Linked DNA regions of Coturnix japonica. The protein of the gene in region 3 purifies or fractionates together with the protein of the main gene of each other region. This does not show direct contact. Links are inferred from orthologs where the notes say so. Each region holds a gene or a part of one and is shown on either strand. Other genes may lie near its edges.

The links.
Region 1: the proteins of SRPK2 (region 3) and PNN purify together in Homo sapiens (affinity purification with mass spectrometry; 3 studies listed by BioGRID and IntAct, with this or other methods). This does not show direct contact. The link is inferred for Coturnix japonica from reciprocal best matches to the Homo sapiens genes SRPK2 and PNN.
Region 2: the proteins of SRPK2 (region 3) and GNL2 purify together in Homo sapiens (affinity purification with mass spectrometry; 3 studies listed by BioGRID and IntAct, with this or other methods). This does not show direct contact. The link is inferred for Coturnix japonica from reciprocal best matches to the Homo sapiens genes SRPK2 and GNL2.
Region 4: the proteins of SRPK2 (region 3) and DIDO1 purify together in Homo sapiens (affinity purification with mass spectrometry; 3 studies listed by BioGRID and IntAct, with this or other methods). This does not show direct contact. The link is inferred for Coturnix japonica from reciprocal best matches to the Homo sapiens genes SRPK2 and DIDO1.
Region 5: the proteins of SRPK2 (region 3) and DDX46 purify together in Homo sapiens (affinity purification with mass spectrometry; 4 studies listed by BioGRID and IntAct, with this or other methods). This does not show direct contact. The link is inferred for Coturnix japonica from reciprocal best matches to the Homo sapiens genes SRPK2 and DDX46.
Region 6: the proteins of SRPK2 (region 3) and C2H1orf35 purify together in Homo sapiens (affinity purification with mass spectrometry; 3 studies listed by BioGRID and IntAct, with this or other methods). This does not show direct contact. The link is inferred for Coturnix japonica from reciprocal best matches to the Homo sapiens genes SRPK2 and C1orf35.
Region 7: the proteins of SRPK2 (region 3) and RBM26 purify together in Homo sapiens (co-immunoprecipitation; 3 studies listed by BioGRID and IntAct, with this or other methods). This does not show direct contact. The link is inferred for Coturnix japonica from reciprocal best matches to the Homo sapiens genes SRPK2 and RBM26.

Annotation. Positions count from the first base shown.
Region 1 is NC_029520.1:34,113,753-34,117,775, forward strand, and holds the start of PNN (pinin), read left to right. Parts: upstream 1-1,223; 5' UTR 1,224-1,324; coding exon 1,325-1,437; intron 1,438-1,583; coding exon 1,584-1,655; intron 1,656-2,398; coding exon 2,399-2,467; intron 2,468-3,569; exon of another isoform or gene 3,570-3,780; coding exon 3,781-3,853; exon of another isoform or gene 3,854-3,873; intron 3,874-3,933; coding exon 3,934-4,023. Other genes in the region: TRAPPC6B (trafficking protein particle complex subunit 6B), read right to left, coding at 47-114, 201-281. UniProt on the Homo sapiens protein: Transcriptional activator binding to the E-box 1 core sequence of the E-cadherin promoter gene; the core-binding sequence is 5'CAGGTG-3'. Capable of reversing CTBP1-mediated transcription repression.
Region 2 is NC_029538.1:3,330,734-3,334,233, forward strand, and holds part of GNL2 (nucleolar GTP-binding protein 2), read left to right. Parts: intron 1-36; coding exon 37-141; intron 142-252; coding exon 253-411; intron 412-560; coding exon 561-668; intron 669-949; coding exon 950-1,383; intron 1,384-1,994; coding exon 1,995-2,074; intron 2,075-2,763; coding exon 2,764-2,858; intron 2,859-3,500. UniProt on the Homo sapiens protein: GTPase that associates with pre-60S ribosomal subunits in the nucleolus and is required for their nuclear export and maturation.
Region 3 is NC_029516.1:12,444,130-12,447,629, forward strand, and holds part of SRPK2 (SRSF protein kinase 2), read right to left. Parts: intron 1,687-3,500; coding exon 1,586-1,686; intron 1,486-1,585; coding exon 1,378-1,485; intron 1-1,377. UniProt on the Homo sapiens protein: Serine/arginine-rich protein-specific kinase which specifically phosphorylates its substrates at serine residues located in regions rich in arginine/serine dipeptides, known as RS domains and is involved in the phosphorylation of SR splicing factors and the regulation of splicing.
Region 4 is NC_029535.1:7,513,310-7,516,809, forward strand, and holds part of DIDO1 (death-inducer obliterator 1), read right to left. Parts: intron 871-3,500; coding exon 1-870. UniProt on the Homo sapiens protein: Putative transcription factor, weakly pro-apoptotic when overexpressed. Tumor suppressor. Required for early embryonic stem cell development.
Region 5 is NC_029528.1:2,449,291-2,453,382, reverse strand, and holds the start of DDX46 (probable ATP-dependent RNA helicase DDX46), read right to left. Parts: upstream 2,801-4,092; 5' UTR 2,683-2,800; coding exon 2,666-2,682; intron 1,299-2,665; coding exon 1,116-1,298; intron 875-1,115; coding exon 734-874; intron 1-733. UniProt on the Homo sapiens protein: Component of the 17S U2 SnRNP complex of the spliceosome, a large ribonucleoprotein complex that removes introns from transcribed pre-mRNAs.
Region 6 is NC_029517.1:2,070,663-2,074,611, reverse strand, and holds the start of C2H1orf35 (multiple myeloma tumor-associated protein 2), read right to left. Parts: upstream 2,801-3,949; 5' UTR 2,700-2,800; intron 2,676-2,699; exon of another isoform or gene 2,525-2,675; intron 1,965-2,524; 5' UTR 1,953-1,964; coding exon 1,859-1,952; intron 1,779-1,858; coding exon 1,628-1,778; intron 282-1,627; coding exon 236-281; intron 153-235; coding exon 73-152; intron 1-72. Other genes in the region: MRPL55 (39S ribosomal protein L55, mitochondrial), read right to left, coding at 2,959-3,102, 3,194-3,365.
Region 7 is NC_029516.1:137,286,013-137,289,512, reverse strand, and holds part of RBM26 (RNA-binding protein 26), read right to left. Parts: intron 1,963-3,500; coding exon 1,844-1,962; intron 1,306-1,843; coding exon 1,169-1,305; intron 313-1,168; coding exon 224-312; intron 1-223. UniProt on the Homo sapiens protein: May be involved in the turnover of nuclear polyadenylated (pA+) RNA.

The DNA.
Region 1 (4,023 bases), on a different chromosome or scaffold from region 3:
CCCTCAGGACAGGGAAATCGTGCCAATTACAGAACTACACACCCACCTCTCGATCAGTCCCTGCCCGACGCGGAATCCCATGCTCTCCAGTTTGGTGGTGCAGCGGCCGTTCTCCTGCAAGACACAAGGGCGGCCGCCGCCTCAGCCTCGGGGCCGGCCGCCGCCTGACGGCCTCTGGGGCGGGCAGCGGCCCCACTCACCCCTTCGCCTTGCTCGGCGGCGCGGTACAGCCCCGCCACCATCTCGTTGTGCAGCAGCAGGAACAGCGCCTCGTCCGCCATGGCCGCTCCCCTACGGGCGGCCCCCGCCCGCCGTCACGGCAACGGCCCGCAGCCAACGGGAGCCGCTGCGCTGCGCTGCACCGCCCCTTCCGGGAGCGGGAGGGCTCGGGGCCGGGACTGGGAGAGGCGGAGTGATTCTGGGGCGGGTATGAGAGCGGGGAGAGCGCTGATGTGCGGTGTGTTTGTTTTACATCGCCTTCAAAGCGGCACTTTATGTTCAACCCCCATTTTCTGCCTCTGTAAGATGGCAACCGGTGTGTGCCCCGGTGGCGCAGTGGTTAAAGACGCCGCCTTGCAACACTGGGGCCCGGGGTTCGAATCCCCCCTGTGGCGCAAGTGATAGAAGTGCCGCTCTGCTACACAGAGGCTCGAATCCCGGGGGTTGGACTCGATGATCTCTAAGGTCCCTTCCAACCCGCACGAGACTGTGAGACTATGAGAAACCGGCGGGGTGCAGCCTGAGCGGCCGCAGCCAAAACGGCACCGTGTGCAGTGAGAACGGCGGGCAGCGGAGGGCGAACACAGCACAGTACAGTACAGTACAGTACAGCGCAGCGCAGCGCCCCGCGTGCTGCCCCGTTACACGGGATCACGTTACGCCGCGCGGGAGCGTACAACGCGGCTGCCCGCTGTAACGCCCCTCCTGATTGGTCCGTCAGGCACAGAGGCTGTGGTAGCTCGAAGGTGATTGGCTCCCACCGCAGCAAAGCGACGAAGTAACTTCTCGTTAGCCACGAGAGACGTCGCTCTGGCCCTCCCGCTTTGTGATTCGCAGAGCTGGCAGGCAGCGGCTCTCGGTGATTGGCTAAGAAAGATGTCAGTCTGTCTCTGAGCTTTGTGATTGGTGGCCGAGTGCAGAGATTCTTCCCACGGGGGCGTACCCTCTCTCTTGCAGCTCGCCTATTGGCTGTCGGCGTTACCCGCCGCGGGGCTATTGGCTGCGCCGTCCGTTCCCTCGCGGAGCCGAGTGTTGGCTGCCGGGCGGGGCCTGTCCCGCCGTTACCCAGCGGTGCCTCGCGCCGTGCCCGGCTAGGCCGCGCGGGATGGCGGTGGCGGTGCGTGCGCTGCAGGAGCAGCTGGAGAAGGCCAAGGAGAGCCTGAAACACGTGGATGAGAATATCCGCAAGCTCACGGGCCGGGACCCCAACGATGTGAGGTGAGGGCCGGCTTACCGGGCTCCACTCGAGGAGGCCGCCCCCGCACCCCCGGCGCCACCCCGGGCCGTCGGGTTGCGGCCCCGCGGGGGGTGGGAGGGCGGCGATGGGCCGGGCGGTGCCGCTGAGCGATGTGCTGTGTTCACAGGCCCCCGCAGAACAGACTGCTGGCCCTCTCAGGCCCTGGTGGAGGTAGGGGGCGAGGGAGCTTACTGCTGAGGTAAGGACATGCGGCTCTGCTGCTTTATCGCGACTCCGGGTTGTTATCTTTGCGCGTTCTGTGTGCCGGCTTTGATCCGTGTGTTCACCGTAAGGGATCGGGAGCTGGAACAACGCAGTCAAGTGGGAGGCCTGCGGGAGCGCCCGGGGGTCCATAGCGGTGCCTGCAGTGCCCGGTTTGATCTTGGTGCCTTTTGGTGCGATTCCAGCTGTTAGCCTTAAAGTTAAGGAGGACCTCCAGAATGAAGGGAGGTGCGCTCTGGTGTCCTGGGCCTCCTTCCTTTGAAGTGGTGCAAAATCACTGTCTTGGTAATTAAGAAACTGGTGGTGTTTCAAAGGAGAGTAGAAAGAATGGAAGTCACCGGGATTCATAAAACTCACATAGGGGGATTTCCTTTGTGAATTTACCTTTTCTGCCCTCTTTTATTTCTCAGCTCCATGGTAGAGCCAGAATCAAGAACAGACTCATGTTCAGTAGTTTCTTCTTACCTGAGTACATGGGACGTTTCTTTAATTCTTTTAAATTTCAATATCAAATTGTTGCTGAGGCCTTAACACTTAAGAAAATGAAACTTCTTGAACCTACTGAGGTAGCTTGAGTGCAGCAGCTCCTCTGAATAACTTTAAATGGGTTGATTCACAAACAGTGCATTTAAATACATTATTACTGCAGTAACGTTGAATGAGTATAGAATTGAGTAAAAAGTGTGCCTTGTTCAGAGATCACGAGTGGTTTCCTTTCAGGCGTGGATTCTCGGATAGCGGAGGAGGACCCCCAGCCAAACAGAGGGATATTGAAGGGGCATCCAGCAGGTGGGTGGAAAGATGGATGTGGAGACCCTGCTTTTACTGTGATTCTTGCACAGTGGAGATACTTAAATGTATAATTCTTTCTTTCTTTCAAGGGCTTATGTTGCCTGTGGAATCATGGGGGAGAGAACCATATGGGGAATTAAATAATTCTGTATATTTATGAAGGGCAGAAAACTCAAAGGTGTTGAAATCTGTAGCAAGTGCTGTAGTGAAGAGCACTTTTCATCCTTTAGGGAGGGAATTTCTTGTTCCTCATCCATTCTGCACGAAGCTCCTCCTTTAACTTTGTGGGCGTATTTGATGCAGGCTGTAGTGTATTCTTCAATTTTCTGAATATAGTTACAGCGTTAGATGCCAAATTCTAAAAGCCTGATTAAAAAACTTATGCTAAGCAAAGCAGAAAACTTATGCAGAATTTAATACAGCAGACTGCAATATTAGCCCAGACTTGTTTAACAGTAGACACAAATCGTGACTGGGATTTCCCTTTCATTAATCTTAATACCTCCTGTGTGACAGTTTGTGCAGAAATTGGAGGCTTTCCCAACTGGATGCAGATCCATCAGATGTGGCTTTGGCCATAGGGAGCTGCATTTTTCTGAGTACTTAACATGCAGTGGTAAATCTTGACAAAAGCAATACTTGCTTTTGAATTTTTGATTTATACAAAATATATATTGTGAAATGCTTTACTGGCAGCAAACTGCTATGCCCCAGAGCAAAAGCTGAGAATAAGTTTAATACATTACTGAGCTGTTATGTGTTAAAAACCTCAGGTTATCCAAGGGCTCAGGTCCCTGCTAATTGCTTTGTCTGTCCTTAACTGATTTTCAGGTATTTGCCTAGGTAACCTCAATAGCTTCTTGAATTTGAGAAAATCTTAATCTCCATATCTTAGAGTTAGGGTACTATGAATAGGCTGAGGCTGGACTTGATGATCTTTGAGGTCTTTTCCAACCTGAGTAATTCTATGATGCCTTGATGCTTCTAAATCAAACTCATATTTCTCTTACCCAAATAAACGTTTTAGATACTCTGGAAAAAGAAAAGCTCAAATGAAACAAAATCCAAAGCTGTGCTAAAAAGTCAAATAGTGCAGTAATGTGGGTTCATCATTTTTACTTTAATACCAAAGTTATATTAAAACTTAAATCACTTTTCTCACCTGCTACATTAAAAAATTTATCTCTTGCCACTCTTCTGATCAACGGTTTATGGGGATTGTTGATTCTGATGACTATATATGCTGACTTGTGTAGATGCTGTTGTTAATGCATGTTCTCCAGTGGCCAGTAATGCTTTTTATTCCTCAGGCTGGGTGGAGAGCGTCGGACCAGAAGAGAATCACGCCAAGAAAGTGACGGAGAGGATGATGATATTAAAAAGGTAACTCACAACAAAGGGAGCTGTGCAGGAAAAAAGAAAACGTTTACATGAACTGAGTTGTTTGTATTTCTCCGTTGTAGCCAGCATTACCATCTTCTGTTGTTGCTACCTCCAAAGAGCGAACACGTCGAGACCTTATACAAGATCAAAATATGGATGAGAAAGGAAAA
Region 2 (3,500 bases), on a different chromosome or scaffold from region 3:
AGAGGAGGTAACGTGGGGATCACTGATATCTTTCAGGTGTGGCAATACATTACTTTGATGAGGAGGATTTTTCTCATTGACTGCCCAGGGGTGGTGTATCCATCTGGAGACTCAGAAACAGACATTGTTCTGAAGGGAGTGGTATGTATCTGTGCTGTGTGCAGGGAAAATTCTTGCTGTTTTCACCATGGTGAGTTCAAAGAAGTGTCTGCACGCTTTCCAAAGGGTTGATACTTTACCATTCATTTTTAGGTTCAAGTTGAAAAGATTAAGAGCCCTGAAGATCACATTAGTGCGGTGCTGGAAAGAGCCAAGCCAGAGTACATCAGAAAGACATACAAAATTGATTTCTGGAAAGATACAGAAGATTTCCTTGAGAAGCTTGCTGCTAGGACTGGAAAACTACTAAAGGTTTGAGAGCATCCTGTATTTACAGGTTGGAAGAGCATGTGGGTTTGTTTCTGCACTGGAAGTGCGAAATACGTTTCAGTTGCAAAGAGATAATATAAAGATGGTATGCCCTGCAAACAAGGACAGAAACTGTTACTGAATTCTTTCAGGGTGGTGAGCCTGATCTGCAAACTGTCAGCAAGATGGTTCTCAATGACTGGCAGAGGGGCAGAATTCCGTTCTTTGTGAAGCCACCAAATGCAGAAGCAGCTGCTGAGGTAAGGATGTGAGGCTCGTGCCTCTTCTTGCATATTATTCCATTCTTCTAATGATACTCACTGATGCTTTTGCCAGAGCACCATGTAAATTGGGCTTTTCCTGACATGATTCAGAGCACCGGATAGCAAAGAACTCTTCCACAGAGATGTCTGAACTGTTTTGCAGTCATCCAACTAGTAGAAATGTCAGTAATTACCACGTTGTTAGTTATCTTAGGCTTCGTCCAAGGGGATGTTTGGACAGGCTGTGGATAATATATCCATTACGCCCTTTTTCCTAGCCACCCGCATCGGAAGGAGCAATGACATCAAGCCAATTTAATAATGAGAAGGAAATTTCTGAGTCTGTTGCATCAAATGTGGAGCCAACGGAAGAGAAGAAGAATGCAGACACTGAAATGAAGCAGCTCATGGCAAATGTTCGGCAAAACTTTGGGAGGATTAATGTAGCACCTGAGTTCTCAGAAGAAGACTTAATTCCTGTAGATGTGCCAGGCTTTGATGAAACAGACAGTGATGCTCCTGAAGAGGAGGAACAGGAAGAAGAGGAAGAAGAAAATGAGCAACATCAAGATTCAGTAGAGGAAGAATCAGAGCCAACTGTACAGAGTGCCAGGGAGAGCTCGAAGGAAGTTCTTCAGGCTTTGGAGGAGAAGATTGCAAAGTGCAAGAAATTTCTGGATAAGGCCAAAGCCAAGAGGTTCTCAGCAATAAGGTATCTGAATCTGTTTAGTGACTCGAGTGTTTTCCATTGCGGGGGGGTGGGAAAGAGATGGTGAGTTTCTGTTGTAGTTCCACTGCCTTTATGTCCATTGCTTCTCTACTTTAGCCATGCTTTCTTTTGGCTAAGCAGCAGTTTGTTTTTGAGAGAGTGTTCTAAGAATTTCTATTGGCCATAATAACGGAAGTTTTTCTCACTGTTGGTTCAGGTATGGTTTAGAAACCTGTGGGTAGCAATATTTCTTCCTTGCATCTCCCTGATATTGACCTTTCTTGAGTAATACAGAGGCCAGTGTCCTATCTGTACATGAGTCTCTGTGCATTTACAAGAGCATCCCAGCTCGTATGACAGGCCCAATTTTAGCGGAGCTCATCCACCATGTTTGTGAGGACTAAGACGTCAAGAATAAGTGTTAAATTTTGCCCTTTGTGCAATGCAGAAGTCCAGTAACTCTAGAGACAAGATTACTGGAATATTTCTACCATGCAAAGTCTGCGGCTGTACTGATGACAGGCTGCTGGGACCTATCAGAGATGGATCGCTTCTTAGAGATGGCTGAGTTTTGTATTATGACATTCTTTTGCTGTCTGTTTTATCTTTTGTAGAATCCCTAAGCAGCTGAGTGAAAAAGTGTTTGCAAAATCTGTGCAGAAGGCTGAAGAGACCAAAGAAAAGGAAGAGAAAGGTAAAATGAAATTGGTAGTTCCTGATCTCTGTCTGGAAATCCAATAAGAGAGAGAAAATAGGGGATTTAAGGAAGGGTGTTCATTAGCTCCTCACTGCAAGTTCTTATTTCCCTAAAGCTGCTATATAAACCTCAGCTTAGTGAATCTAAGGGCTGCCTCATGAGCTTGTTATAGTCTTTCTATAGAGCTGTAGAGCCTGTATAGTAAAATGTGATCTCTGCTACTGAGTGAAGATAAAGACAAATGTTGTGCTCTCAGCAGAATGGTGCTGTGGGTGGTTTGCTGTCTCAGCAACATCCATTCCACACGGTATAGTATTACACAGCAGGGGGTGGAAGCATTTTATGACATTATAAAAGCACAGAGCTACTGCAGGCTATAGGTTTTACTGTGGTCACTTTTTTGAGGGTCTGTGTCTTCAGTTTCCAAAGCAAGTTTGATTAAAGGCAGAATAATGTGGGAGAACCCTATAGTGACAAGACTGACATTTTTCTAGGCTTATGTAAGGCTTGAAGCAATCTGCTTATCATGAGTGGTTTTCTGGTAAGGGACAGACATGTTGTTTTGGTAAAAGCTATTAAAATACCATCAAAGGATTGCTATGCTGAAATAGATGGGACAGTGACCCCAGTCTTAATTCTGTGGTGTTGTGGAAGATGCTGGAGTCCATAATCTCTGCTGTTTGCAGGTGGCACAGTGAAGAAAAGAAAAAGGAATATAGAAGAGGAGGATGATGAAGACCATTCGGGTAAACAGCCTTGCAAGAAGCTTACATCCAAAGAGGTAAGTGGGATCTCTCATTGTGTAATGGATGAGTGGAGTAATTGAGCTGGCTCTTTCCTGAATGGATTGTCCATTATTATTTGAGAGGTTTGAAATCTGACATTAGTAGCTGTCTAATGTGACAGCAATATGTTCCAGCAGGCCATGTGCCCATTAGAGGCACCAGCAGGCAATAATGACAGTGTTGAAAAGGAGAATCCTTTGTAGATAACTGTTCTGCTTACCCAGTGATGCTGGTGAGAGAGCAGGGATCTACATCTGACAGATAAGAGATCTAGATGGGCTAAAGTCAGTGGCTGTTCTGTACAGCAAGAGCTGCTGCTCCTATTTCTTGTGTTTGTTGAGTCTAAACAGACTCACTTGGTGTTTGTAGCATGTTAAAGCGATGTATAAGCAAATCCTGTACAGCAAGGGGTTTGGGTTTTTGTTGGTTGGTTTTTTGGGGGGTGGGGTATTAATATATATGGACTATTAGGACTGTCAGATGAAGAGTGACTATTCATGCAGGTTTGGCCACAGTCTCTGTGACTACACACATCAGTTTCCTTGTAATTCTTCTCTATATTTGTAGAGATTAAACTCTATCCTATTATGTGACATTTTAAGAGCTTGAGCTGGGTGGATTTTGTATAGCTGTATGTA
Region 3 (3,500 bases):
AAGATCTTGCAATATAAGAACTCATACATTGTGCCTCAGATCCCACCCTTCAAAAGGGGTTTTCTCTATTTAAAAGGAACAATAAAGCAACTCCCACCACGTGCCAATTAGCAGGATGTAGGCTGAACCAGTACAACCTTTAAGACTATACAGTAATATAGAGTATTCAGTACTGTAACAAGGTTTCAAGTAGAACAGAAGTTCGCAAAATATCAGATATAAGGAATGAAAAGTTTCTATAGTATTCTTACAGCTAATTATGGGAAGAATAAATAAAGAATTCGGGTTCAAAATTGTAGAAAATTTTCTATGCTTTGTTTTCAATCCAATAGAAAAATTCTACATTTTGCCTCAAAATGGAAGAGTAAATTTAGAAATGGATGTTCTTTTCCATCAACTAAAAGAAAAACTAGTGTTGAACTCCAGAGAACACATACTTGCAGATTTACTTATAGTCAGTTACTTCCAACACATGGCTTGCTGAGCTTATAATATCTGTAGGATTTTATGTTCCTTTCAGTCCTCCTCCTCTCCGAGTTCTGCAATTCTTCTCATCACCCACGCCTGCAAACTGTGTCTAGTATTTAAGTGTTCTCCTCCTCATCACACACTTAATCTTTTCAGATACATATTTGTAAAATATAATGACTCGAATAAGTTTTCACTTTTTAAATAGACAAAGGTACTTCTAAACGTGTTTCCAACTCTAATGAGAAAATGCACGTAGATTACTTGTCCTGGAAGTGAGACTGCAAACAGAATCAGTGTTTCAGAAAGTGCAACAATTAGCCTTTCATCCTTCCTACACTTTAAAGCTTTTAAAACACACATCAGTTTTACTGTGTTAAAACAAATTCGACACAACATTACCACATACTTTGCTAATAGAATAAATTCCTTCCCTTCAAGATTAGAGTCTAAAGCTGCGATCTGCAAACCTACTCTGACAAACGCTTTCACTGAAGTTGGCAAAATTTAAAGTATTTCAGGTTTTCACTATTTTATGCAAGAAAAAGGAAACAGCGCAGGATTGCACAGTCTAATACAGGAACAAAGTATACAGTCATACTACTTCAATTGGATTTTGACATTTAAAATACACACATCTTTCCCTTCAAGCTTACATATTTTTAACTGCAGATTTTAAATGCCTGAAATGAAAACCAGAACATTTCTCCAAAATACCTCCTGTTGATTAAAGACGATTAAAATACTGAAGTAAAAGGGAACAACAATCAGCTGCTGTCTGACGGTATATAATCTATAGCGTTACATTTCTGTCAAAATATCAGAATTATCCTCGTCAGATTCCTTCCCTCAGTAAACAACTATTTTTAGGATTCTTTTCTTGAAAAATACACACTGTACAGTTCTTACCATACATGCTGTACTCCAGATATCTGCAGGTGTACTGTAACCCGCTCCTATTAAAACCTCTATGGATCTATATTGTCTGGTCTGGATGTCTTCTGTGAAGTGTTTATGCTAAAACAGAAAGAATCACATTAATGGCAAAAATGAGCAATAAAAAGGGCTGTTCTACACAGAGAAGACTAGAGAGTTGAATTGATGTAGTTACACTTACCACCCAGCAGGCATTTCCCAGGTCAGCAATTTTAACTCTAATTTTATCTGCATTTCGTGGGTCCAGTGGATTCACCAGTAAGTCAGCAGCACGAGTTTTTGCTAATACAAACAAAAGGCAGAAGAGTATTCAGAACATGCTACTCGTTTTCTGCAAGTGACTTTGTTGAACATTAGGAGAAATTAAAGCAACATAAACAGGATTTCAATTTCTTACCTCGATTTCTAAACATCCTCACACATACTAAGCACGTTTTTTAATAAACTTCCATATACCTATTATTAAAATATGTGGCAGAGCATCTACGTAAAAATGAAGCATATTTCCATGACAAAACAAGTTAAAACTCAAACTGCACATAAAAGACATTCTTTAAATGGTTTGATTGAGAAAATGAATCCATCCCTTCCACTCCTGGTTAAGGTACCTGAAGTTTGGCTGTTGATATTTTGTTGTTTTTCTTTTCAGATCTGCCCCACTGGGAAAGGAATGATCAGAACTTGGCAGATTTCAGAGCCCAGCAGCCTGTTACCCATTTCACAGATAATTCAACATTGAATCAAAGTTCTCTGAAGGATCTATTTGCACTAAACATGATTCAAAGTAAAACTGCAAAACTGCGATCTAATTAATCCAGCAATCTGTATATTCTCCTGAGACACTGGAGGTTCTAACATACAATTCTTGAGGACTCCTCCTTTTTTCTTGCTATTTTTACATACCACCTGCTGACTCCTAACACGTGTGGGGAAGAAAGCAGGTTGCCTTAAACGTGGAAGAAAGAACCAAGTATCACAAGTACAATAACACCAGAGGGACCATCAGTTTCTTCATCTCAAAGCCACAAGAACTCAACCAGAAACTGATGGTGAGACATGAAAGAGATACCAGATCTGAAAGGCATCTGGGAATCCAGAGGGGATATAATGATCAGTTAAACCTGCATAAGTATATTAGAAGAAGAAAACACACGGCACATGAGACAAGGAGGAAAATGAGAGGAAGTCTAGCAGGATGAGTTGCAAATGACTGAAACAAGATGCAGATCTTGAAGTACTGGGACAAGAAGTGCAAATGAGCAACCATGGCACTAAATAATGGCCATCTGGAAAAGAAAATGGCAGAACTTACCAGGGAAGAAAAGAAAACACTAAATGGCAGAAGACAGAACAGGCAGTGACCTCAACAAAACAGTCCTCTAAAAGAGCTGTAACTGAGTGCAAGGCTCAAGTTCTAAAAAAGCACCATCAGAGAGTGTAAAAGTAAAATACACTGAGAGAGTATTAAGGTTGCTTTCTACCCCTGAAAAGACAGAAAATACTTAAAGTCTTCCCTTAAGACCATGCAGCATAGCACAGTCAAATTTTTTTTAAACACAAACCCATGCACTATTCATGAAATAACAGGAGTCAGTTCAGTAGCCTTGCTATTGCTGAAATAAATCCTTCTCATGCATCTTGTTGAAGGTGAAGGACTGCAGTAAATAAAGCAGGAGAATGAAGAAGGAAAAAATGGCTTTGTTAGTGAGACATCTGAAAATGACATTAGGAAGCATTTTGCAACCTCCCTTTAACACAGTGAACAGGCAAAGGTAACAGCCAAGTGCCTCCATCTTCATGTTTTTCTCATGAGCTCAGTGAGCTTGTGTTCTTTATTTTCTGAGATGAATGAGACACCTCAGATTCTGACTTAGACTAACACCGATAATTCACAACTAGCTGTGAAGTCAAAAAGACGGTACTTCTTAGTAAGAACTCTTTAAAAGCACCCTGTGATACTCAACCTGAGGGCAAACTTAGTGAGCATTTCTAATTTTCACTTCTGTGTGTCCCAGTTTTGTAAAACTGAGAAATATCACCTCCTCTTCTCACAGTCACACCATGACAATATACTTAGTAAACATTCAGACACTGGA
Region 4 (3,500 bases), on a different chromosome or scaffold from region 3:
CAGATGTTTCTGCAGCACTGCTTTTAGTATCCGTATACATTTTGTTTGGTAAATCATCAACAGCAACTTTTGCTTCTTCCAAGATAGTTTCATCTTCTGGATCATAGGCCTCATCCTCTAGTATTGCTGTATTACTCGGCTTTTCCACATTATAGAGTTTTTCACTTTCACCTGTCTGCATTTCAAAAGCTTTCTCTGGATCATATTCTTCCTCGGGATCATATGGTCTGTCGTCTTCCTCCTCTTCTATAGCTTTGTCTTTTGACATCTGGCCAAACTGTTGTACAATGGGATCTAACAAAGGAACAGCCGTCACACCTCCCTCAGCAGCTGCCTGAGCTTTCTGATTTGAAGACTGGGCAGTTTCAGAATCCTTGGGAACAGGTTCAAAAGATTTCTTCTTTCCAAAAAGTGTCTGCAGGATGTGCTCAAGAGGAGTGGCCGTTTTTGAAGATGAAGAATGTGTAGCAGCACCACTTGGAGAAGCAGTAGCTGAAACTGGTGGTGGTGGCGGTGGTGGTGCAGTAGTTGTGGTTCCGCTTTTAATCGAGGACAGTATCTTTAATACCGAAGGTGTAACTGTTGAGCTTTCCGGAACGGGAAGTGGGGGTGGAGGCGGCGGCGGAGGAGACCCAGGTGGTGTTGTACTTACAGCTGAGTCTCCAGAATAAAGTGTGTATTTTGGAGTTTTCTTTTCTTGGAAAGAAGTTGCTGGCCCCTTCAGGAACTGAGATGGTTCTGCTTCCTCTTGCAATTGAATCCGACTTCGCTTTTCCTCTATTTTGTCTGCTTCCATGCCAGTAGCAAGACGTTTCCCTTTTTGACAGATGACCAATCCAAGAATTAAATTTGGACGTGATGATTCAAGACCTGAAAGAGAACACAAAGACTGTATATGTAAAAAACATTTGTATCAATACTTTCAATAGAAACTTATTACATTATATACCGGTAGCTACAGATGTTGTAACAATAAGTTCTTCTGAATTTCATGTGATGACTTACTAGCAATTCTATTAGTCCACACACATACATATCCACATTTCTTTACTATTTATATATGCATTTGTATGTGAGAAGAAATATCTCAACCCCTTTCTTAAGATTTCTTTAACACCGTATTAAAGAAAGTTCTCATCTTTGTATTATTATTTTATTCTTGTCCGTTCCCGACTCAAACAGTTCCTGTAAAATAGTTTGTCATAATGTTGTATACACAGAGATGTTGGACAAGCCATCTACCTTTCTGTAGGGCTAAGCTGGAATTTAAGAAGCATAGCTGAAGAAAAGAAAACTCTAATGCTATTAGAAAACCTTCCTTTGTTTTTTTTTCTTACAGATAAACCACTTGGCACTATTAAAATTCATAACAACAGCAACCTTAAACAAACTGTGTTTGGAAACAATATTAAAGCTCATAACTGACTCTGGTTATTCTTTTTTCCCCAGCTAGATACCATTTTTAACATACATTAAGAAGTAGAGAAACTGATAAGTAACATACTAAACCAGCACATGAGAGTTTAAGCAGATACGTGTTTAGCAAGTGGGAGAAAGGGACACCGGGTATGTTTGCTTTCTCTCCAAGAAAGCATTTAGTTGGGTGTGAATTTGGTATGTCTGGCAATTTAACAAGCTGTTTTTTAACCCTCTGTTGTAGGATTCAGTTTGATGCCACAGGCACTGTGAGCAGAACTGCTCCACTGTGAAAGCTTCTGACTTGAATCTTCGGAAACGTTTATCCAAAAATGACCAGAAAGTTTCTGGAAAGAGGGAAAACACAAACATCCATGCGCCTGTTTCATGTTATTGTGTTTCTTCCCCTTACATTCACAATTCCCACTGGCACTTGTGGAAAATAAACATGACCAGAATAAAGGGCAGGGAATGAATCCTTTAACATACGTGTAAAGGCAAATGTAGAAAAACTGTATGAAGAAAGGCTTAACTTCCGGATTTAATGACTTCAAAGAATCCTTTTTAGGGACCACATTAACTACTATCTGCAACCAGCTAGGAAGGAGAAATACAAGAACACAAAACAAATGGTCCAGTAACATAATATTCAGTGTGGTTAAACAGCAAGGAATCAAAACCCTATACTGCTCCTTCCACTCATGAACCTGTAGGAGTTTTAAAAGCATAAGATACTAATATACATATATCTTTTGTTGCTCTTACTAAACAAAACCCTCTGCTCACTAAGGGACAGTTTATACCACCGAAAGCTCCTAGATAACAGCAGTATATAAAGTAGTAGAAATCCCATTGATGCAGATAAATTCTATTTGTGAACAATAGTCATTAAGTACACACTTGAGATGAAACAACCCAATGCAAAGCTTTAAGCTCCTATATTCACTAATTAGACCATTGTATCAGCTGTTCTCATTTATGTAGCTGAATTTCTATTCATCTTCTCTAAGTTATGGTTGCTAAGATTAAACTCAGAAACCAGTAAAATGAGATAAGCTTATTTCTAACTGCAGCTTTCTAGGTGAGAAGATACCATCACATACAGATAAACCTGAGCTACATTTTGACCAGGGAAGTTAAAATTTCTTCTTCTGTAAAAATTTTCACTGCAAGAACTATTTATGGTCTGCCACAATAACACTGCAAAACTACCACTGCTTTAAAACCTACTATTGGCAACATTTGCTACATATTTCATTAAGGCTTAATTTCTGTTAACAAAACCTCACCCCCATCATCATCAATGCTTGCATTTCTCATCCTCCATTCTTATTCCATTTAAACCTTACTCTCCAAAAATGTAACTGTAATTAACAAGGACCATAATTATTTCAAGTAAAGTAAACTAACTTGAAAGTCTTATGAGACCTCTTCAGAACCAAGGAACAATCTCTCCTCTGAAACTGCGTTCTTCTGATGGTAACTGGTAATATCACAGTGAGTCTGTTTTACTCATGTGATGGGGAGAGCAGCTAAAGCTGGACAGGCACTAGAAGTTCTCTTTACAACAGGCCAGAAACAAATGGAGGCCAATCTAAATTTTGATCAAGATTTCCCATCAGAAATAGCTCTCATTTTAAGTACAATGAGAAAGAAGAATAATGAAATTCAATTGAATGTATTCTAGATATCCATAGTTGATTTCGCAGTTCAGCGTCTGAGTTTGATGTAGTTCTGTGGCTGAGAGGGTGTTGGACGTGCTGCTTTCTGTAATAATTTCCAATCTGCAGTATATTCTCTCAGAAGTGAGGCAGGGATGGTGAGATGAACAATGAAAACAGGCAGGACAGGAACAAAACAGTTATCTCCAGTGAATCCAAGATTATCTGAAAAGCACTGTATGAAATCTTGGTTCATCCAATCACAAAATTCATTTGCATCCTTTGCCTAGAATCAGCTCCAGCCATTCTGATCACAATACATTACATACACATTAACGTTTAACCTCAAGGCATAGTTCAAAAGACATCTTTGGTGGGAAAAAGACCATCCACAATGTACAGCCTGAATGGACTCAGCAGTGA
Region 5 (4,092 bases), on a different chromosome or scaffold from region 3:
ATTTCTAGGAGAAGGTAAAGTGATCTTGCTTCCTGCTATGGAAGTCTGAATGTTCCTCTGCACACTACTGCCTTAAGGACACTGAAACACCTCTATCTGGGAAAAGCTACTTATAGCAGTACTTATATGTACTTATATATATAGTACTTGTCGTATGCAACATGCAGACTTCCATTTAAAACAAAACCCACTTATCACAGATTTTGTTATCATAACATGTTTCCTATTAAAAAGAAACGTATCTGAACCAAATGTTTGCTAGCTCATAACAATAAATGTAAAATTCACTTTAGCCAATTAAATCTCATTGAGATCACTTCACAGCCCACTGAAAGATTAATTCTAATGCCAGCCATATGATTATCCTGAAAGACTCATTCCAGCTGCTCATAATTTCTGGATTGTTGTCAACCTGCTTGTTCTCTATCCAGACTGCTGTTAGAACTTGTGGATCTACTACTCATCTTACAAAAAACATTCTCACAACAAACAGCATTAGAAATAATTATGCATACCCAGAATAGCATTTACGGCCCCTCAAGTAAGGAATATAAAAATACTTAGTCCTTCAAGGGACATTAAGCGATGGGAAATTACAGTATGCTAGGAAAATTCTCCTTGCTCTATACACAAAATCTTTGGTTGGTTTTGCACAATGATTCCTTCCAATATATCAGTATGTTTACAGTAATGAGTAACTATGATCCGGACTGTAACTACAGAACACAAATACCTGTTTTCTGTCTTCCTGTTCTTGCTTGGACTGGGGGATCGAGACCGTCTGCCTCTGCTTCTGCTCCTGGAGCGCCTTCTCTCTCGGCTTCGTGATCTTCTTCTCTCCCGACTCCGTTCCCTTTCTCTACTTCTTGAACGTCTGCCCCAGAACAAAAGTGTACTTACTCAGCATGTGGCAACAGTGTAATTTTGGCTTTTAAAAGGAATCCAATAATCACCAAGGATCACTAACAGCTTACAAACACCAGCACCAGCAACAAGACATTACTTAATAAGCCAAAATATTAAGTTCTATCATGAGCAACAACAAAGTAAACAGCTGTAGAGGAAGAATATCAGCACTGGATAGCAAGCATTCTTCCCTACTTTGGAGCTCATACCTCTGGCGCTTCCTGTCACGTGAGCGTGACCTCCTCTTGTCCCTGCTGCGCGATCGCTCCCGTCTGCGATCCCGATCTCTGCTCCTGGAGCGTCTGTCCTCACGTTTCCTTTTATCAGATGGAGAACGACTTCTAGAGCGGCTCCCGGAGCGTCCCCGCGACGCAGAGCGCTTCCGATAATGCCTGCGTTGTGAAGTCACAGGATAAAGATAAGCACAAGTTTGAGGACAGTTCGGGAAGTGGGAAGAAGCAGAGAAAGCAAGACCTCAAGTCCCCCATGTCCCTTCCCTTTTGTCACTGCCAACAGAACTGTATTACAACAGTGCTGGCACTAAAAATAATAGAGTTTATTTCAGCACATCGGTATATTTAGGTACCATGTACATTTGGAATCAGTGCAGTAGCAGCGTGACATCTATATCCTGCCTACAGCAGTATGACTGAACGTGGAGAACATCAGTCACTGTCAGATATCTCTGATTTCTTCCCATCTCAGCCCCAAAATGCCATGAGAACTGCTCCCCATTTCCCCCCAAGATTTCTTTTTCTTCCTCTACAACGTGTAACAAATCTGGGCATCTCATTTCAGTCTGATGAGTCCCTACAGCAACTCCAGGACCTACCCTGCCCTTCTCCACCCCCCACTCCCTCTCACTCTCACCATCTTTTAAAGCATTTTGAACACTATAAACCACGTTAGACAGCTGAGTTTGAAACCCCATATTACTTTATTGATTGATTGATTTTAATTGATACAACCCAGTTCACCATGCAGCTGCCCCACAACATAAAGACTTGCAGAAGGGGATGGAGCTTCTAGGAGAGCAAGGGATGCAAGTGGGAGCAGCGGGGGCTGCTTATACAATTAGAGCCCCGTGGCCTGCTTTGACAAACACACTGTGAGTGCTTTCTGCAGACTTTTCTGTTCAGTCCAACCCTAAAGCCCATCTAAAACCACATTATCAGAATGGAAGCTGTACTGAGGTAAGCAAAGGAGTCCTGAGAGATCCAAAGGCAGCACCAGGAGCTGCCAGCAGATTTTGTAGCCTGCAGACTGTTATCAGGCTGTTAACATTGTTTCAGGGTTAAAATCTGATGATAAACTAGTCAGTACAAATGTAACAACAGCATGAGCACACGGCACAGCTGGTTTAAAGCCCAACGGGTGCGAGCAGCTCCACAGCACCCGGCAGCACCGACCGAGACACACAAGGAGCGTGTGATCACATTACTGCTGAATTAGTTAAAACGCCCAGTGAGGTGTTTGTGTCAGCTGCGAGGACAAAAGGTCCAAGATGACGCTGAAACTTGAAGAGATACGTGCCATAAACGCCTCAACAACAGGAATCAAACACTAAAATCCCGATCTCTCGGCCCGGCCGCAGCTGCTCACAGCGGCGCAAGGACCCGCGCGGTCCCTCAGCGCAGCGCAGGCCGCTTCGTGCGGCCTTTGTTCCCACACGCAGCCGCCCGGCCGCTATCGAAGCACCCGCGGGCCCCGGAGCGGGTCGTGCCGCCTGTGTCCCCGTCCGTGTCCCCGCTGCCCTCACCTGGACTCCCGGCCCATGGCGGTTCGGCGGTGCGGGCCCTGCGCTACCACACGGCGGCCATTCGGCGCCTCAGCACCGGAACGACGAGGCGAGGCGGCAGCGCGGCGGGAAGCGGCCTGAACCACTTCCTGCCCGTCACGGCGCCGCAGCGCCCCCTGGCGGCCGGAGGGCGCAGCGCAGTGTGAGCGGGCGGGACAACGCGGAAATAAAACGGGGAAGAAAAGGAAAATAAAGTGTTTGTGGGTCGGGCTGGGTCCGACAGGAGAGATGGGATAAAATAACCCCTGCAGCACCACGTCCTGCTCCAGAGACCTCAGTGAGCACAATGCACGTCACCAGAGCGACATGCACTGCGGCTGTGAAGCACCAAGGTCACACTTGTGTGGTAGGAAACCAAAAGAACCAAAAGCACCAACGCTCCAGAAGCGATTTAACACAGCACGACTTGCTGGGCTGACAGATGATATTCTGACCACAAAGGAAGGGGGTAACAAATTTAATAGAAAACAATCGGTTCAGCAATAGACATTAAACAACATCCATCCACAAAGATAAGTTAAAACGGAATGAAGGAGATTCATTTCTTGGCCTAAGGTGAGGAGTTGCCCAGCAGAAGCCCCAACCAGCCCTTTGCCATCCCTCATAGACAACAGGTCCATGTTCCAGCCCCACCTGGAAGCCCAGCAGCTATTTCAATGTGGTGGGACTCCTGTCCATCTCAGGAGCTTTACTTCTATCTGTGCTAACGGGTTTAAGTCAGAACTTTTTCCAACCCAGCCTCGGACACCTGAAATACAACATTCATTGGAAAATAAAGAAACAAACAACTGTTAAAGTGATACACAGGCCGTCATGCCACAAATGTATCTAACATAAGAGCCTGAAGCCCAGTGCTGGCTATTTGGAATGACACCTCACCAACATCCTTACAATGGAAAACAAGAACATTCATTAACCTGCTCCTTCAGCCAGGACTCACTTATATCTGTTGTTTTTTCAGCTACACGGCTGGACACCCATAGGACAAATACACTTTCTATATGTGGCAGTCAATTAAAAACAGCAGTTTGTTTCTTATTTTACTCTCACGTGTAACGCGTGGGGTTTAAAACAGGGATAGCTAATAGGATTTCATTGGGGCAAAACAGTGAAGGGAATGGTTAGCAACTCAGTTACCATCCACAGATCTGCTGAATCAAAGGCCCTATTGACAGTGCTGGGCTGTAGGACGGTGGCACAGCAGTAGCAGAACTCCTCGGCAATGATGGTTCTGTTTACATGCAACTGGTTGATCGTGAACGTATCGAGATAATGAAGGTCATGTAGGAAAAAACCCGTCATAGGCAGCCCTGCAAAAAGCTATTTTTACATCTAACAAACATCTGACATTGCAGCTCGGTGGCTGCTCTGTCCAACTTCCCCCTCCT
Region 6 (3,949 bases), on a different chromosome or scaffold from region 3:
CATAAAACCCAACATAAACGTTGTGTTTTGTTTTTAAACAGCTGCTCTGAAATGCAGCATTTCAGTGCTCACCTGGAGCTGCCCAAGCCCACCACCCGGTCCATGTCCTCGGCTCGCTCTGTGCTGTCCCGTTTGCAAACCTCAGCCAGGTCCTGTGGGCAAAACATTGAGAGCCCATAGGAACACAGAGCACGGGGGATGTCCTGGCCTATAGGGACAGCGGGGATGGCCTCACCTCCTTGCTGAGGCCTGTGGGCTGCCTCTTCACGTTCTTGTAGCCCCTAGTGACAGAAGCAGGCAGTCACAGCATGGCCCCATTCAGAATGGACACATAAGGATCCTCAAGTCTAAACCCCAGCTCTGCACAGCACCATCCAAACCCCATTTTGGAGTATGAGAGCCCACCATTCCATGCTCAGCATTCCACGCCTACCACTCCATTATACCCAATATTCCATGCCCACCATTCCATGCCCAATGTTCCATGCCCACCATTCCATGCCCATTATTCCATTATGCCCAGTGTTCCATGCCCATTATTCCATCATACCCGCCATTCCATCATGGCCAATGTTCCATCATACCCAATGTTCCATGCCCACCATTCCATCCCCACTATTCCATCATGCCCACCATTCCACGCCCAATGTTCCATGCCCACCATTCCATCATGCTCAGTGTTCAAAGCTCACCATTCCATCATACCCAATGTTCTACGCCCACCATTCCAAGCCTACCATTCCATCATGCCCAATGTTCCATGCCCACCATTTCATGCCCACCATCCCATCATGCCTACCATTCCATGTCCAATGTTCCATGCTCATGATTCCATCGTGCCCAGTGTTCCATGCCCACCATTCCATGCCCATTATTCCAACATGCCCAATGCTCTATGCCCACCATTCCATACCCACTGTTCCATGCCCACTATTCCAAGCCTACCATTCCATCATACTCAATGTTCCATGCCCACCATTCCACACCCACCATTCCATGCCCACCATTCCATCATGCCCAGTGTTCCATACCCACTATTCCATGCCCACCACTCCATCATACTCAATGTTCCATGCCCACCATTCCATGCCCATTATTCCATCATGCCCAATGTTCCACACCTACCATCCCATGCTCACCACTCCATCATACCCAATGTTCCATGCTCACCATTCTATGCCCACCATTCCATCATGCCCACGATTCCATGCCAAGTGTTGCATGCCCATCGTTCCATGCCCATTATTCTATCATGCCCAATGTTCCATGCTCATGACTCCATCATGCCCACTGTTCCATGCCCACTATTCCATGCCCATTATTCTATCATGCCCAATATTCCATGCCTACCATTCCATCATGCCCAATGTTCCATGCCCAGTGTTCCATGCCCACCATTCCAAGCCTACCATTCCATCATGCCCACCATCCCACACCCACCATTCCGTCATGCCCACCGTTCCATGCCCGTGATTCCATCATGCCCAATGTTCCATGCCCGTGATTCCATCATGCCCACTGTTCCATGCCCGTGATTCCATTATGCCTGATGTTCCATGCCCACCACAGTTCAGACTGTCTATTTTTGGGGAGGGTTGTCACAGGGGGTTTGTAGGGAGGTGCTCACAGTGCTGCCATCATGGCCTCCTGCTCAGCCAGGCGCACGGCCGCCAGCTCCTCCTCACGGGACAGCGGGGTGGGCTCCTGCTTGCCCTTGGCGTACCACGTCAGGTCCTTGCCCTTCTGCCAGCGTCCCACCGGTGCCATCAAAGAGTTTCCTGCAGGGATACAACAGCTCCACATTATCCCCAGTCCTTTATCTTCACCCCACACGCAGGGCTGGGGATGAAGGCCTTACCCAGGTAGTTCTCGCGCTGTTTGTCTGTCTTGACGTCTTCCCAGCTGAACTGGTCCTGGCCCCCCCGGACCCCTCCTCGGGATGAGCCGAACATGGTGACGGGGTGCTAAAAGGATGGGCCCTGTTATCATGGCAGAACAGCAGGCTGCCCCTGCAGGGCAATGGGAGGAGGAATGGGGAGGCACAGGGCCACCCCAGCAATGCATTGTGGTGGGATGAGGGAGATGAAGGGTTCCCCTGCAGTGCAATGAGGAAGGAGGGCAGGGAGGTGCCCCCTATTGCAATCCTAAAGCCATAGGAGGTTTTAGGTATCAAGCAGGGGTCACGATGATGCCTTAGTGGTGGGGGCTGGGGGGGGGTTGTAAAGAATAGAGGGGAAGGGTAAAGTATGGGGTGGATTCTACAATGTCTGGAGGTGGAGGAGGGTGCACAGCTTTGGGGAGGGGGGGGGTTACATGATCAGTGGGGTTGGAGTCTGGAGATGGAGGGTTGAATGGGTTTGGGGTAGAGGGGGACTGCAAAGCCTGGACATGAGATCTGTAGTGGGTTGGAGGAAGGCGACTGCATGACCCATTAGGGACACACGGGCTGGCAATGGGCTTGCATAGGTTAGAGAGGGGACACATAGCTTGGCAATGGAGGTCTGAGTGGGTTGGGGGGGGTTACCTGTACTGGCAATGGGTGTCTGTATGAGCTGGGACAGCCCAACGGGGGCTGCACAGCTCGGGGGCACGGGAGGGAGGGGACCGGGGCCGCACACCGGGATCATAGAGACGGTGGAAGGGAAAACGGCCGAACCCGAGACCCCCAAAGCCCGACCCCCCCCAACAACGGCACGCACCTCTCCGGGCCGCGGGGCCCGCGCACTGCAGCCCCTCCCCGGGTGGTACCACCGGGCCCGGAGGGGTGGAGGACGGTACCACCGCAGCGTGGAGGGGGAGAAGAGGAGGGGGGAGGGAAACGGCCCAAAGCAGGCGTAAAATGAGGCAAAACCACCTAAAAACCCTAATAAATCCTTAACAAAATGGCTTTTATTTCTATAGCTGCGTCTGTCAGCTCGGTAAGGAGGCCTTGGTGGGAGGTGACCCCAAATCGGTGCTTTATTTCTTCCAGAATTTCTTGTATTTCTCCAAATCCAGCTCCTCCAATGTCTCCTCCTGCTTGACCCGCAGTTTGCTGGGGAACTGCCGCCTCAGCCGGGCCTTGCGCTCAGCCTCGGGCAACGTGCTGCTATCCAGGGGCAGCTGCAGGGGGAGGGATGGCAGAGGGTGAGGCTGCAGCACCCAAAGCAAAGCACAGCCCTGAGTGCACTCATTGTTGTGTCGAACCTCTTACCATGAGGATCCTTTTGGGCTCCTTGTAGCGGATGTGGATGGTGGAGCCGTCGGTGCGGACCAGCAGCAGCGGGTAGAGGCGGCCGAACACCTGGCGGCGGAGGTGGGTGATGGAGGTGCGGTTGGAGTTGTGGCGGCTGCAGGATGTGTGAAGGCAGCGGGGCTGCAGGGCACTGCAAGAGGGAAAGCAGTCATGGAGCTGTAGCGTTATTTGAGCTGGAAGGGAACTGTAAGGGTTGCAGAATCATAGAATCATTGAATGGCCTGGGTTGAAAAGGCCCATGATGCTCATCCTATTCCAACCCCCTGCTGTGTGCAGGGTCACCAACCAGCAGCCCAGGCTGCCCAGAGCCACATCCAGCCTGGCCTTGAATGCCTGCAGGGATGGGGCATCCACAGCCTCCTTGGGCAACCTGTGCCTCACTGCCCCATTGCCATCTGCACACAGCATTCCAGGTGAGGTCTCACAGCACAAGAGCAGAGCAATACTTGGTATCCAGATAACCAACAAACTGCCCTTGGACGGGTTTTCAAAGAGGCCTTGAAGGGCACATTAATTAGATGGGACACTGGAGAACAGAGTTTCCTGCCTGAATTTGATCTGTGGGAAAGCACCAAGCACCAGGGCCTGGACTACCCCAAAATACATAGTGTCCCCAACTACATAGTGTATCTCCTGAGTGTGTGAGGGTTGATTACCACAGGGCAGGTGATGAACCCGCTCTTCAGACCCCACACTGGGGCTCCCAATGGCCGA
Region 7 (3,500 bases), about 120 Mb from region 3:
GAGCCTCTGTGTAGCAGAGCGGCACTTCTACCACTTGCGCCATAGGGGGGATTCGAACTACGGGCCCCAGTGTTGCAAGGCGGCGTCTTTAACCACTGCGCCACCGGGGCACACTTGTTGAGTTGCAACTGTTTTATTTTAGACTTAATAGGTGACTGTATGTAAAGGAAATATTTGTAATGTCACAAAGATACAATACAAGAGATTCAGAAAAGTTTATTACCTGGTGTCTCTACAGCGTGAACTTGACTGAGGAGGGCTGTGATTTAGTCTTCTGGAGAACTTCTTCTCTCGCTCTTCCTCTTTAACTATCTGAATTTTAATTATATATATTAGATCAACACATCAGTACACTATACCAAAGAATTCTGTACAACCAAATAAAAACAAAAATCTCAAGTACTGAACAGAATCTGCAGCAACAATTGAAACAGAATAAGATTTTTACTTCTAATATAATAATATACTAAATTTCTCATTTCTGAGGATACTCAGAGCACTGTTTGGGAGAAGATTAAGTAGTATAAGAAATGTTTATTATGCTGCACTGGAAATACAACTACTTTTGATACAGGTGGAGAAATCCATATTGAGCTACAGTGAAAGACCTGGGTACACAGGAATGTTCCATGAGTGGCATAATAACGTCTTTTCAGCAGATTACATTGTTGACATAATGGTTAAACACTCATGCAACCAAACCTAAGCAGCTATTGAAAAAGGGCTAACCTACTCTTCTCTGGGTCATAGAACCATGTAAACACCAGTGCCAGAACATTTCCAGGATCAAACAGCTTAATGAATGAGTACTGTCATTTGAAATGGCAAATTAAAAGGGCAGCATTAATTAGAGCAGTCTCCTGAGCAAAAAAACTAATGCAGATTGGATTGTGCCGCACATTCTGCAATACCCAGGAACTCTGTTTCCATTTGCACAGTAAGAACCATTTTGATTTACTCAGGAAATTCTATTACCTACGTTCTTATGTTCAGAAACGCTGTGCTTAACATATGAGACACAAACCACCAGACATCTTAAAGTTGCAGTGCAAATTTTGATACTAAACTTGGGGCTATTAATAAACACACATGATGCAGTTGAACTAAATAAGTAAGTCATGGGAAGGAATAAAAAAAGGTACACAGATAAAATGATGTCAGCGTTTACCTCTTCTTTTTTTGTCTCCTTCTCCTGGTGTTGAAAGAACTCTACTTTTAGGCTTCCTGATGATGGCTGTTCTGGTGGAGGTAGATAGCTTTTTGTATTCACAGCATCAAACAGTTTTTCCACAAATATCTGAGTTTCTAAAAGTAAAGAATAAATATTCAGTCTTCAAACCTAATATATGCTTTTAAAAACTAAAAAAGTTCAAAAAAGTTCAAACAATTATTTGCACATTCCCCCCACCCTCCTCAACTTTGCTTTTATACTTCGTATTTCAAAAGGACTTTTACAAGGTCAAGAAACATGTCAATAATTACAGTGTTTCATATAGGCATTCATATTTTTGGTATCTTCTTATCAACCACCTAGAAGAACATTTTTTAACATACAGAAAGATTCAGGGCTTCTAATTCAGGCAGTAATTCCTAACATTCTTAGTTTTCTTCCAGGAATAAAAACAGACAAAAAAAATACACACTTAAGAAATAAAACAAAGAAATTAAATCTATAAATTATGCAAAACCTGTGGCTTTTGTCCTTTTTTCTTTTTTATTCCTTCATGCAAATTGAAATACATACTTTCAAGTAATAAAGCTGATGAAGAAATGGACAAAGAAGTCTACATTAAAAGTCTGTTTGAATTAAACTTTTCAATCAAGCTTAAGAGTCATGACATACCTTTCTGAAGAAATACATCCAGCTGATCAACACACAATGCCTTCAGCTCCTTTTCACTTTTATCCTTCTTTACCAAAGCCAGAACATATTTAGCTAGGGCAGATGGATCTGCATCACATCTGCAAACAGATTAACAAAAACACACAGAAGAGATTAAATTATGAAACTGAATATCTAAAACTAGTATCACCAATTCCATATAGAGGATCGAAATCTTTACTTGTAAAGTAATCGAAAAACATCTGGGGGTATTTTCTAAGAGTGAGTCCAGAGATGAAAGATCACTAAGCATCACATTTTTCTTCAGAGAAGTAATTTCTTAGAAGTGAGATTTTCCAAACAATACTCCACACACCATTTCAAAGCAAACTAGAACAAACTATTTAGGGCTTCAACTGCCTAATAGTCCTGAAGAATAATAAGAGCTACAATAAGTACTTCCATAATTTCTCCATTATGAAATCAGTGAAGACTGATCTGTAGTACTGGGTAACTCTTAGTAGTGTAAAGTTAGCCTATGTGAATAGAAATGAAAGAAATAATATAGCAGAAACTATGCTACTGAAATGAAGATTTCCATTACCATATGCACATTGATGATGTGTTAGAGACAGCCAGCTGTCTGGGTGATGACCAAAGTTAATACTACTTAATACTACTACTTAAGCAATAGTTTTAAGAAACCAATGAGGAAAGACGATCACACTGATGCATCCTAACTGTATATTCTCTGCATCAAAAACAACTGTGAAATGAGGGAAATTAAAATATACTCAGGTTGTTGCACTGAATTTCGGTGTTATATAAATACATTTCCAGTGAATACGTCCACGATAGCTGAACAGAATAGAACAGCTACTCCCAATCTCTTCTACATTAAAACATATGAAATTTCAGCACTGAGGCTTAATGAAAAGTCTAACTGTTGATAACTAATGTGTTTCAGGCCCTGAAAGCACATCCTTCACAATATCATGCTAGATATCACACTACATAATTCCTTTCCTCAAAGAAGCTATCTCCAGCACCACATTCTCCACACAAACATATCCATTAAGCAAAGGAAGCAGATCTGTCAGCATCTGTCTTAAGCAGGCCCTGAGGATACCTTGGGCTCACAATTGTGCTCTCTAAAGTTAGAGGTCAAAGCTTCAAACATAACCCAGTACCCTGAAGAAAACAGGCAACAGCAGTATTTCATGCTGCAGAAGCAACATGAGCTGCTAAGGGACAGAGCACAATCTTCTGTGTTAGCCTGCATTATTCATAGATATAGGAGATGGGAGTTTACAACCAGTTTCAACCCCAAAAGAATCTGCACACACAAAACCAACAAAACACAAATATATGCTGCCAATTGAGTAACAGGCTGCACAATGACTGAAAATTCTTCAGAAAATTTGTCTTCTGAGCATCACATCTGGTTTACTCCAGTTCAGATTTAATAATTGTCTACCTACAAGACTGCTGCTCAAACATCAAGTCACCTCAGAAACAGGAACGTGACTCTATATATCAAGAACAGCAGAATTGCACATCACCCACCCAGACCATCTGGAAGCCCACGCCTTAAGGCTGTCTGTGCAATGAGGTAGCTGGCAGAGAGAGGTCCCAGCCAAGAGAGCTCACTTTTTATTTGAGTTCCCACCATTTTTTG